Drosophila melanogaster: one gene and its partner. The protein of the gene in region 2 purifies or fractionates together with the protein of the main gene of each other region. This does not show direct contact. Each region holds a gene or a part of one and is shown on either strand. Other genes may lie near its edges.

Region 1 (4,887 bases), on a different chromosome or scaffold from region 2:
AAGACCTTTTTTTATAAATATATTTTAGAACCTATTGCCCCATGGCTTTCCTCTGATTGCCCAGGAACGCGACCGAAAGAAACAATAACCATCAACTGATATCAAACGCACATTACGATATATATGTACAAACTCAAACTGAAGGGTAAGAAAGCACACTTCGTTTGCCTTTGGAAGCAGAGAAGGAGGATATACGTGCCGAGTGGGGAGATACGGGGAAATAATTTTAGAGTGTAATTTGGGATAGATTGCTTATGTGACTAGAAGTCGTGGCTGCCACACTTGTGTTGTCGGTTGGGAAATTGGTTATTGCTTAGAAAATTTGGTTAGTTACCGGCCGCTTCAATGGCCGGCATTTGTTAATGGTAAATCGGTAACCGATCGCAGTTTGTTAGCTGATACCCATATGGAGTTACTCATGCCGCAGCTTACCTCATCGAAGAACACTTGGGTTTTGCGCAAAATATGCTTCAGCTCGGTCAGCTCCAGAAAGTTGCGCTTCAGGGCCTCGGCGTTCTGATTCACCTCCCTCAGCTCGTTCTCCAGCTTCTCAAAGGTGGCCTGAGCAGCAGACAAGAAAGCCATATAAGTTCAACAGTGTTTAGCAGAAAACAGGGAGTATGGCGGCGTATACCTCCAGGTCGATCATCTCGCGGGGCTGCGGGGCCTCGGGACTCTCCCCGGTGTCCAACATGGGGATGCCGTCCTTCTTGATCTCCTTCTCCAGGTAACGCAGCTTGCGCTCCATCTCATCGCAGCGGCGCACCTCGTTGACGAACTTCCTCTGGAAAGCGTTGACATCGGGATTGAGCTGCGGATTTCAAAAGATTGGTTTGTTATTGGGGGATCTCAAAGATACTTCATTTGTGCGATCAAGATATAGCACTTATGCCACTATATTTTTCAATTTTATTTAAATGAGGTAACACACGTAGTTATACTATACACTTAGTAGCTGGTGTCACCAGCTTTGCATTTACTTTGCATTCGCGTTAAAGGGGACGTTTCATGGAATACCGAATTCGCTAATGAGGTAAGGGGTATGATTGTGGTTTATGGTTAGTCAGTGCGGCTGCCTCGACCGCAGCTTTATGTAACCCATCCTACTCACATCTCGGAACTGGACCAATCCCAGTTCTCCCAACTCGGAGACGCAGGCGTAGGCCGCCTCGCTCTGCAGGAACAGCTGGCACAGCGCCATTTCCTCGCTGCGGAATAGGGAACCCATTGTGGCAGCCGGATTCCCGATATCTGCGAATGGAGAACAGACACTAAATCAGAATGCATATGTACATATATAGTACACAATGGGCCCATTCAATTGCATGATTCATGGCCAAACTGGGTTTCTTCCTAAGTTTTGCGGCCGTGTCGCATACATATTTTCATGCTGATTTGGTTATCGTTTCGGTGGGCGGACGTTCGCTTGTCCCCCAGATTATTTGTCTGTAATCTATACTATATATGCGCCGAGATTCGATTTCTATACCCCATGCGTATATTGATTTTTCTCCGCCGCGGACAAAAAGAAAGTGCTACGTTGGACCCGGATGCCAAGGTTTTCGGCTCGTTGGGGGTCAGCCAGTGACTGGGCTCGAGCTTTATCCGAAAACTATTTAGTTTGTCAGGGGGTCACTTCGAAATGAACGTCGATTAGTTAATTACCAAGTGCTTAAAAATTAAATATAAATTCGTCCACAAACTCCAGCAACCGACAAATTTCCGAACTATGAATCTAGTGTGACCGTGGCAGGTCATTGGATTTATACCAATCGAGTAACTAGGGAAATAAATTTGTACTTAAAAACAAATATCTGGGAAATATTATAAAAAACATTTAAAAAACACAAATGCTATTCGCAGTTACTATTCCTAGGGAAAATAAATAGATTTATCCCTTTTATATAACATTTTTCGTCAATATAAACAGGCAGTGGGAACGTCTTCATTCAGTTGAATTCAACCACTTGGTAACACTGGGCAGCAACAAAAACAAAGAACTTCAAACTAAACCGCCATATTTTACTTAATTTCTGTGCTAAAATATGGATCGGACCATAATTGCACCGTGGAAGGCCGAAGAGAAGGAGCAGAGCGAGAAGCTCCACAGGAAGCTGCAGGGACTGGCCCTGGTGCACCCCCTGCCGGACGAGCTGCGTAAGCTGATTGCCTGGGACATGTTCCTCAAGCCCAACCAGGTGGCCTTCGTGCATGTGATGCACTACCTCTTCCGTCTGCTGGATCCCGCGGAGTTCAAACGCCGCTTCTTCTGGCCCATCACCGACAAGAAGTCGGAGGCGAACTTTCGCTCCAGCACGGTGGAGTATCTGAAGCATCTGAACGAGAAGCACCAGCTGCATTGGGCCAACATCAAGTCGTATCTGGTGGTGATGCCCGGAGGCATGAGGTTCATCAACTTCCTGCTCGAGTTCGTGGGCTTCGTGATCCAGGAGCTCATCAAGCAGCGCGAGAAGTCACTTGGCTTAGAGGCGGGAACACCAAACGTGAGCGCCAAGGTCATGGCCCGCCAAAATGCCGTGATGAAGGAGTACGCTTCTTCGTATGTGGTCAATCTGGAGGAGAATACGGCCCTGTTGCGGGACAAGACCCAGAAGATCAGACGCCTGATGGCCGATCTGTCTGCAGACATGGGAGTGCCCGAGGAGCAACTGGCGGACGATGGCTTTCTGGATGAGTTCGAGGCCACCGCTGCACTCGGCGTGGAGCGGGTCATTACCCAACCCACCGAAAGGAAATTCGACCTGGAGGCATCTCTGTGCGGTCTCAAGGAGGCCATCGATCTTTTCCAGGTGAAGCAAGCCGAGAACAACCAGAGCAAGGAGGCGGTGGAGAAGGCACTTCGGGGCATGCGAGTGCTGTTCGACTGTGATGCAGTCACAGAAGGAGGTGAGACATCTTTGGTTGCATCCTTGCAGGTCTTTAAATTTAAATGGTTTTTCAATTCCTTCGCAGATTTCTACGATCCTTTGGGCGCATCAAAAATGGATGCGCTCTTAAACGGCTTTAATCGGATCAGCGGCACAATTGCCGAGCAACTGGATGCTAATGACCACTACAACGAATCGAATGCGTTTGTCACCACCGATTTGCAGGCTCTTCGAGTGGAACTTTCACAGTCCGAAGTCCAATTGAACAATTTACTCAAGAAACTAAACGAACCGTCCAAAAAGGACAAGGGAAGTGCCAATGCAAGTGGCTCCGCCAGGGTACAGACGCTTCAGCCGGCCACGCCTCGCTTCGAATCGGTTATCAGCTCCAAATTTGTTTCCACGCCTCCCATCAGAATCGACATGGGCGGCGGTGGCGGTCGCAATGCCCCAGTGCGTCTTGCACTGCAAGATGACTTCAATGGCAAACAGTTTGATGCCTTAAGCAACAGCTTACTCGGTAAGGAGTGAACTAAACCGTTCGCTTAGTGACCCTCATCCTTATGAGTTTTCCTTTTCAGCACCTGCGCCGCCTCGATCAGCACGCAAGCTGAAAGCCCTTGATCAATCGACCGGCATTGACCTTAATGGCACTTTAAACCGATCCAAGATCAACGATCCCATGCAAATGCTGCGCACCATTCACAAAAACACCTCCAAGGTCAAGGCAGCTCCGCAGGCGAATCTCTCCTCCCTGGGCAGCAAGTGGAAGCAAATGCAAGCGTCATTCGGTTTCGATGAGGCGCCGGTGCCAGGAGCAGCAGTGATCTCACCTCAGACCTCACCAACGGATCCCAGCGATCCCTTTACACCCTTGAGTGGTAGCGAGTGCACCCGAATTGAGCGCATTCCGCGCACTTCGGAAAACAACACTTCACTGATCGCCAAGAGCGCTGCGGTTATAAAGGTCCTGGAGGTATCACGGAATGTGCTTAATCTTAGCACCTCGCCATCTGGACGCCTAGATGCACTGGTTCCACATACCGAGAGCCACCAGCAAGATGTCGCGCCACGTCTTCAGCTCAACGACAGAACAATCAATGTAAGTGGGATCAACAATAATACGTGCCTACGAAATATACGAATCTCAAGTTCCTTTTTTTTACAGGACTCACTGCAGCTTGATCCCGATTTCAACATTGAAAACGATAAGAATGCATTCAATGTCTCGCATAAATTCGATTTTGATCAGATTGGTGGTGAGGATGACCTGCAGAACATCAGCGATAGCGTGCTCAAGGATATTATCTTTTAGTCCACGGGAATCGCGAATGGCCAATATTGTTTAGGTAATAGATTTTGTATTCTTTTTCTAATTGGTTATGAGGTTTTTAAACGAAATATACTTTTTACTTTAGTTTTTAATATTACCCATATGAAATTAAAACTAAAATCTTTCAGCTTGAAAGCAATTTTCTTCTTTTAAATACATCTATAAGTATACCAGGCTTTTCGAAATTCGAGTTTCAGGACTTAAGATTATTATTGAAATAAACAACCTTTGAGGCAGTATTAAGGTTTATTATATATATACTTTTAAAAGTCATATCTTATAGCTATTGTTCTTCATTGCGGCTTCAGCGATCTGTTACATCCTTGCAAAATCAGACTTTCTGAAATGAGTGGGTTGAGCGTTCTAGATGAATGAACGGCAAAAGTATGAAACAAATTGTATAAAAATAAAAAAAAATGAGTGAATATAATGATGGAGAAATAAAATAAGAACAAAACTGAAAAGTGTGTCTTCAATGAATTCATTTTTATTAAATTCGAAAATTATAATAATTATCGTTAACTTAAACTTCATGAATGTGAGATATGTACTTTTGTGTCTCTGTATACATGTTATTGTATGGTATTACTTTTGGTCTTTATGGTCCGCGCCTATCACATGTCTAGCCGCACAAAAAACTTTACATATGGATACGGATACTGGCGT
Region 2 (7,735 bases):
ACGAATGGTTGCTCCTCCGCACACTTGATGGCATCCCGAAAAGGCTTCGACTCCCGGATCTCCAAGCCCACAGGTGACTCATTTCCAGCTGCATCGAAGAGTATACCTTCCTGTTCAAAGGCGTGGTTCATCTCGTGGCCCAGGACTGCGCCCAGAAGACTGTGCTGGAAGATGGTGTGCTCTCGGTGATCGAACAAGGGCCACTGCAAAAATTCCATGGGAACAGTAATGGTGTTCCTTTCGTTCTCATAGAAGGGAGAAGTGCGAGCCTTCCTTACGTTATCGTTGACATAATAGTGCCGCAGATCCACTCGAGAATTCCTTGCAAGCAGTCCAGCATTCTGGAGACGGGTACGTAGGGCAAATGCTTCAAGGAGATTGGCCAGGAAGTTTGTCGCGGAAAAGTTCGCACTTCCATAGTGGTTATTATAGAACTCAGGAGATTTCTCCTCAGGCAAATTTCCTATTTTGATCTGAATACCTTCCAACTTTGCTCTTACATAGGCCAACTGGTTTGGCGTAAGCTGCAGGCGATTGGCATCTAAATATTGGCCAAAAGCTGCCTTTAAAGTGGATAAAATCTCCAGTACCTTACTGGTATCCTCCTCCCGGTTTTGGTATATAAATCGATCATAGATGTAGTTCATGCCCAGGGGTAAATAGGCACGCATATGGTGAATGCAGCTTCTTGGATTCCGCTCCCTTGGCTCCGACTCCTCCACTAAAACATATTGGCGTGCTCGAATGTACGTGTCCTTCGGCTCACTGGCGAAATCCCGTAGACAGCGAAAACATTCCCGCAAATACTCAACATCACTCACCTCGAAAGTCAGGTGATAAAGCTCCTCGGTGTGGTTCACGCCCAATAACTCAATAAAAAAGGAATGCGGAATAGGGATTTCCTGCCTTAATTCACTGAAACTCCATGTATATACAACAGGATATTCTGCACGATACTTATCCTGCAGCTGATGCATTTTCTCCACCAGTTTAACCACTCCCATCGAGTACCACGCTTCTTCGTAAAGGCGCATGAGCTGCAAGACACGGCGGTCACTATATCTATCAGCCGGGTCAGGCATCCTTAACTGAATAACCCAACGCATGGAATCATTGGCGGCCACATCAACTCGCTCATCAATGAATACACCATTCAAGCCGTATACGAGAAATTTTTTAGGATGCAAAATCCACTGATTGACCAGTTCTTCGGGACGAGGATTCCCGTGAAGCTTTCGCGTATCCTCCTTGCAGGCCTTGTAGTATTGTCGCATTTGCTTTATCAGTCGGGGTGCCAGTGTATCGTTTTCACCCAAGTGGCTCTCCATGAATTCCACCATGGCAGTGGCGAACTGATCCTCGACTCGCTCAAAGTTGTCCACATATTTAGAGGCACTGGAGAAGCGACCGCAGGCAAAATTCCAGAAATTCGTGCACGGTGATGTTGTTCTATTGAGATTATTGTGAATATCGTTCGACGTTGCCACGTTGATGTCCACTATTGCCTGGATGGGAATGAATAATGCCACCAGGCAAGAGCACAGTAAAAGTAAACATCCCATTAAGCTCGCTCGATTCACAATGAAACAACAGATTATCGCAACGCTCTGCTGAGCTCGGCCACCTTCGAACTACCTATAGAGCTTTGGGGCTGATAGTGACAGCTTGGTCAATACTAGAATTCACATTTGAAATGTAGAGCAATTACCTCTAATGAAATGTGCCTGCCACCTATATAAACCCGCTTGGTGAGTACATTAAACCGATCTTAACGTTTATTGAATCTTAATTACACCGCTGTTGTAGTTCAATCTTCAATCGTTCGCTAAGACAGTTCGCAATATAAAATTGGTAATCGCGTCGGGACTACCCCAACTATATGTCACACGCTTATAGTCTACTTAACAAAACTGGATCTAAGGTGTTCACTTCTTGAACTTTTGCTTCTTTCCCGCATTCGCACCCGCCGTGGACTTTTTCAGCTGGCCGATCTGTTTGGATTTTTGCTTCAGCTTGTTCTGCTTCTTGATGGGTTTTCCCTCGAGAATGGGCACATCGTCGATATCCACTCGCGGCGCCTTGGCCAGTTTGGCGTTTCCCTTGGGCGACTGTTTTCCTTTCGGCTGTGGCTTCGTTTTCGTTTCCTTAATTGCTGATTTGCTAGGGGAGTTTGTGCCATTGGTTGTTGGCTTATTGTCATCTGGTTTAGCTGGTGATCCGGCTCCATTTTCCTTGGGTTGCGATCCTTTGTTCTTTTTATTGAATGATTTCGCATCTGAATTGGAAACAGTGGTTTTCCCATTGGTTTGTTTTTGTTTAGGTGCAGACTTGGAAGGTGACTCGCTTGAATTTGTTTGCTTGTCCGGTGCCTGGGATTTCTCATTTTTCTTCTCTGCTGGCTTTTCTGGCTTTGGCTTTTTGACAGGCTGCTCAAACACCTTGGCCACATACTTGGTCTTGCTCTCTTCCCGCTTCTTTTTCTTCAGTTCCTGTTCGATTTCGGTGAAACTGGGTTTTCCGGCGCGCTTTCCAAGCAGTTTTCGGGGACCCTTCTCCTTTGACGCTACCTCCTCCTCCACCTCCTCAGACTCCGCAGCCGCTTCTGTAGTGGCGTCCGCTTCGATGGCCTCATCCAGCTGCTTTTCATCCTCCTCCTGCTGCTCCTTAGTTATGGGTATGGTGTTGGAGAATTTCTTGAGCTTGGCCACGTAGAACCCGTCCATGTTGTGGGTGTGCGGATAGTAGCGCTTGGTAAGGTTTAAGCTAGGATGGAACCGATGCTGACGGAATTTGGTAAAGCCCTCCACGCCGAAGTCCAGACCAGTGGGCACAAGTTTGACATTTCGCTTCTTCAGTGCATAGTCGATGACCCATTCGTTCTCCTCGGGCAACACCGAACAAGTTGAGTATACAATGTAGCCGCCAGTTGATGACTTCGCATCCGTACAATCTATGGCAGTCAGCAGAAGCTTCCTCTGCAGGTTGTAGCACCTTTGTACATCTACTTCCGACTTGGTGGTCTTCACACTGGGATCCTTAGAGACGACGCCAGTTCCAGTGCACGGAGCATCCAGCAGGACACGGTCAAAGCCAGTCATAATATTCCGGAACTTAGTGCCATCCTCGCAGCTGACCACTGCATTTACAATTCCCAGGCGATGGAAATTGGCAACAATGGCCTTGATGCGATCCCTGTTAGAATCGTTGGCGAAGAGCACACCAGTGTTCTTCATGATGCTTGCGATGTGGGATCCCTTTCCACCTGGGGCGGAGCACATGTCCAGGATGCGTTCGTTCTCTTGCGGGGCGAGTGCCATTACAGGCAACAGCGAAGAGGCGCCCTGGATCATGTAGTGGCCAGCCAGATACTCTGGAGTTGCACCCAGTGGCACCTGTGAGTTAAAGACAACCAATCCAACTTTCGTCCATTTACCAAGGGGATCCAAGTTGACGCCACGATTGATCAGAGCTCCGGCCAAATCCCTACGACGTGTTTTTAGAGTATTGGTGCGTATGGTTAGGGGACGAGCAATCTAAAGGGGTTAATTTTTAATGATTAATCTTGTAACTATATTTTTTATGAAATATACTAACCTCTGAGGCCTCCAGATATTCCATTAGCTCTGTCAGCGGCAACATATCCATCAGCTTCTCCATCAAAAATTCGTTGTAGCTGTAATACAAACACAGATCCCTGCGCAGCAAATCGATGTACTCCCCGCGAGACCTATCCGCTTGACGATACCTTTTGAAGTCGGAAAGAACCAGACTGACGTCCTTTATGCGCTGTTGCACTTCCTGCAGGGTTAGGTCCTTCTCGGTTTCTTCGCCTTCGACGGGTAGCTGGAAAACATCCTGCTTGTCAACGGTTTCCAACATTTCGTCGTCGGCCAGTTGGGCTTCCTCTGCCTCGCGCTTTTTCAACTTCTTGTTAGCCCGCTCGATGGGCAGCTTGTCATCATCATCATCATCATCATCATCGTCGTCGTCCTCATCCTCCTCTTCATCACTGTCTGCCTGAGCACCATCTTCCTCGCCAGATATGTCAAAGTCATCGTCGGAGTTGGCATCATCATCGTCGGATAGATCGGCCAGCTTGCCAACCTGAGCGGTATCATCATCAGATTCCAATCCTTCCTCATCGTCTCCCTCCTCTTCCTCTTCACATTCTTCTCCCAACTCATCTTCGGAGTCCTCCTCCGACTCCTCATCCTCCTCCTCCTCCTCCTCGGACTCCGTTTCTGGCTGCTTCTGTTGCTTCTTGGGCTTCAGCCAGGCATCATTATCATCTGTAAAACCCTTGGGAGCTGTAGCTTTCTGGCCCTTCGGAGCCGGCACCAGTTGAGGCACCTCCTCATCGGAGGATGCAACCTGTGGTTCCTCTTCATTATCCTCAGGATCGCTGTCGCTGTTGTAGGCCGTCTTCCGCTTAGCCGGTTGTGGTAACTTTCCCTTGGCCCTCTTCTCCTGTAGTTTGGCCTTCTGGACTACTTTCTTTTGCTCTCGCTTAACGAACCTCTGCTTCTGTCGGTGGGAAAGCTTCTTGTCCTCCTCTTCCATGGGAGCTGTGAAGTAAAACATTTGAATTGAACACCCATTGAATAGGGTAATATTCAGGAGCTCTCACCAAACGATTGTTTGCGAAAAACAGGCGGTCCTTGCTTGCGCGCCTTGCGCCCAGGTCCCTTTTTCGGTTTCTCACTGTATTCAGCCTTCCGACCCATATTTTTAACTTAGTTTATCCAGTTTCTTGGAGCAGAACTTAAAAAAAAACGTGAGCACTTCGATTTTGCTCCACGTGCGCCGCTCAAAAGACAGCGAGTGTTTTCCAGCACTGGTCAGAGGGAATTGCTTGAGCCAGTGCTGTCAACTTTTCAGCTTTTAACTAGCTATGAACAATGTTTTTTTTTCAACATATATTAATAACTAATAAAATTATATATTACTTTAAATTTTATTTTGTCGGACTTTGCTTGATTCTTACACAGTTTATTTATACAGATTACGTTAGTATATATATTTGGAAAACACGTGGAACTTTTTAATTAAGATATTTTAGCTACTTGCTCTCCCAGCTGTTTAGCAGCAAACGTATTTCTCAGCACTATAAAAACGAGTTGGTAAACTAATTGGTAAATCCAAAAATATCATAAATAAAAAAAATCTGGAATATATCTAATTAACAGAATTCTTGCTTATAAGTAAGTATTATATCCATTCAATAATTAGATATGATCTTTAGTTGTAATTTAAAATGAAAAATTAATTTAAATAACCGTTATAGTTGCTGCCAACTTGATGCGAATAGTAGTTTGTTGACAACCCTGCCATATTTGATTGTGTTGGTGAATGGCTGGTTCAAACGACTGCGCCTTTTTGCGAAAAATTTAATTAGTTGCAAATCATGGCATACCAGGAGAAAATAACAGAATTTAAGAACTGGGCCACTAATCTTGGCTGCCCGCCCACTGCCCTGCCCACCGATGATGCACTCCGAAGGTAAGTTACAGCTGTGTTAGGCAAATCGGCAACTATCCGTACTTAAAACCCGCTTTTTGCTTCACAGAATTTTTAAGTCCGGCTCCAGTTTACTTTTGAACCAGCTGCAATCCCGCATCCAGCCGGTGGATTACGTGCGGGAGGTGCGCGAGAACCTGCTGATTGCCCAAGTGGCTCGCTACAAGGACAAAATGGTGCCGCTGGCCTCTAGGAGTTTCCAGCCACCGGAGCTCCAGAGGTACCAAAAAATACAGGAGCTAAAGAAGCACAAGGAGAAGGCGAACCAACAGCTTACGGAGGCCCGAAAAGAGTACCAAAAGCTATCTGCCGGCATCAAGACCAAGAGTGGGTATAAAGTGAACATACTGATAACCTTGACGTCAATTTAATGCGGTGAATCCCATACAGACATTCAAACCATCAGTGCTGAGAACCGGAAGCAACTACTTGAATCCAAATGCAATATCCTTGACCTGAAGCTGGAGTCGCTGAATAAGAACTACGACCAGGAGTTGAAGAACAAGATCCAAATCTTGGGCACCACGCCCGTGAAGCTGAGTGCTAGAAATGCCAGCGAGGCGCAGGCAACAAGGGCTGTGGAGCAGGCTCTCAAGCAGCTGGAGACCTTCTATGGAATGTGTGACGATGGCAATGCGGTGAACAATTTAGCCGAGGCCAAGCAGCGATTATGGGATCAGATGCGGAGCACCTTTGCGGATATTCCCAACTCCCTGCTTCTGAACGTGGTAATGAAGATCAAAGAGGAGCAGCTGCAGCACATCATGAAGCTGAATGAATCCAGAGGCGAATGCACAAATGATAAGCCACCGCTGAATAACTATGAGGTCAAGTTACTAAAGACCAAGGCCGATATGCTGGGTCTGGCGGCCAAATATTTCGCGGCCCAAAAGGAGCTGGAACTGAAGGAGGAACGCTTTTGCCAAGACTACAGCGTCTTTGTGGACAAACTGCAATCAAAGGTATACAGATTTAATGGCATAAGTTTGGGCGACGAGGAAAATGCGGATGAACTGATTAGCGACTATCTGGTGCAGTACAACATGCGCAATTTTAATCGCTCCCAAAACGAATTCCTTCGTGAGCAGATTGAGCAACTGCGTCTGGAGCTAGATGCGGGCGCCAAGCAGCTGGAGAATCACGATCTAAAGCTAGGCTCTGTGAAACAAGTATACGGCGACATTAACTCCAGCATCAATCGCATCCAGCAAGATATGGTGCAGCTGTCACAGATCAAGGAGAAGATCCTGTTTTCGCGAAATATGATGAAGAACCTGCTGGACGATATGCAAGCGGCCACACAGAAACAAAACGCCAAGTCCCAGCTGATGAGCACTAAGCTAAAAGTCAGCAATATGTCCATGTTGGGTGCGGAGAGTTTTTGCCTGGCCAATGATAGTGTGTTCTCCAGCACCAAGGTGGAGTTCGATGGCAACTGCAGCGCAATAAACTCAACGATGCGTCGCAGTTTTGACAACAAAACGCTAGTGCCGGGCGGAGCAGCATCTACCACACTGATGGCTGCATCCGGAGCCACGCTACCATCGCATTTGCTGGAATTCAATACATTTTTGGAAATACCGCTGGAAAAATTTAGCTGTACGCCGCGCGCCTGGTGAGAGCATACTTTAGCTGAATGTGCTATTTCCAATTAATCCAGAGTTCATGTTTTTTCCGACAGCTCCTTCCTGTTGTCGGCCAATCCACTCATCGTCGAGGCCCAGGAGTTGGCCTCCACCGTTCAACTGGCACCAGGCTATTTGCTAACACCCTTCGGCGCTCTGCAGGAAGTCCGAAAACGCATTTTGTGGGCGTCAGCAATTGCCGCACACACGTCTGAGTTGAAATTGAATTTGCAGCCGTTAATTGGTAAGCTCGATTCCGACATTTTGTCTCATATCCGTCTGATAGAAAACGTATCACCCTGCTCCCCAGTTGATCCGCACGATTTGAGACTGAAGGCGAGTCGTCAGCACGAGGAAATTGACCAATTGCTGGACAACCTGATGGCCATTGGGGTGAAGACTCAGTTGCAGCTGGAAAAGGCCGAGCGCATCTATCAGTTCCTGCTTGAGAATCCATTGCGACGCTACGTTCCACCCAGTAAACGATACAACAATGGCAGTTTCGCGGACTACGAGTCCGAATTCAATCTCTACTATCGCATGACCACCAATGGAAGTTCGATGCGAGCGCCACCTAATTAAGTACGTTATTT

What was found.
Region 1: the proteins of dgt5 (region 2) and dgt6 purify together in Drosophila melanogaster (affinity purification with western blotting; 2 studies listed by BioGRID, with this or other methods). This does not show direct contact.

What each region holds. Positions count from the first base shown.
Region 1 is NT_033777.3:29,128,050-29,132,936, reverse strand, and holds dgt6 (dim gamma-tubulin 6), read left to right. Parts: upstream 1-1,964; 5' UTR 1,965-2,045; coding exon 2,046-2,907; intron 2,908-2,973; coding exon 2,974-3,408; intron 3,409-3,469; coding exon 3,470-3,990; intron 3,991-4,056; coding exon 4,057-4,203; 3' UTR 4,204-4,353; downstream 4,354-4,887. Other genes in the region: Vha100-1 (vacuolar H[+] ATPase 100kD subunit 1), read right to left, coding at 433-561, 635-811, 1,112-1,228.
Region 2 is NT_033778.4:12,465,742-12,473,476, reverse strand, and holds the start of dgt5 (dim gamma-tubulin 5), read left to right. Parts: upstream 1-1,701; 5' UTR 1,702-1,748; intron 1,749-1,754; exon of another isoform or gene 1,755-1,925; coding exon of another isoform or gene 1,926-3,533; intron 3,534-3,594; coding exon of another isoform or gene 3,595-4,565; intron 4,566-4,627; coding exon of another isoform or gene 4,628-4,724; exon of another isoform or gene 4,725-4,826; intron 4,827-5,284; 5' UTR 5,285-5,404; coding exon 5,405-5,499; intron 5,500-5,566; coding exon 5,567-5,844; intron 5,845-5,907; coding exon 5,908-7,132; intron 7,133-7,198; coding exon 7,199-7,386; intron 7,387-7,452; coding exon 7,453-7,724; 3' UTR 7,725-7,735. Other genes in the region: Nepl10 (Neprilysin-like 10), read right to left, coding at 1-1,562; CG8545 (uncharacterized protein), read right to left, coding at 1,926-3,533, 3,595-4,565, 4,628-4,724. UniProt on the Drosophila melanogaster protein: As part of the augmin complex, plays a role in centrosome-independent generation of spindle microtubules. The complex is required for mitotic spindle assembly through its involvement in localizing gamma-tubulin to spindle microtubules.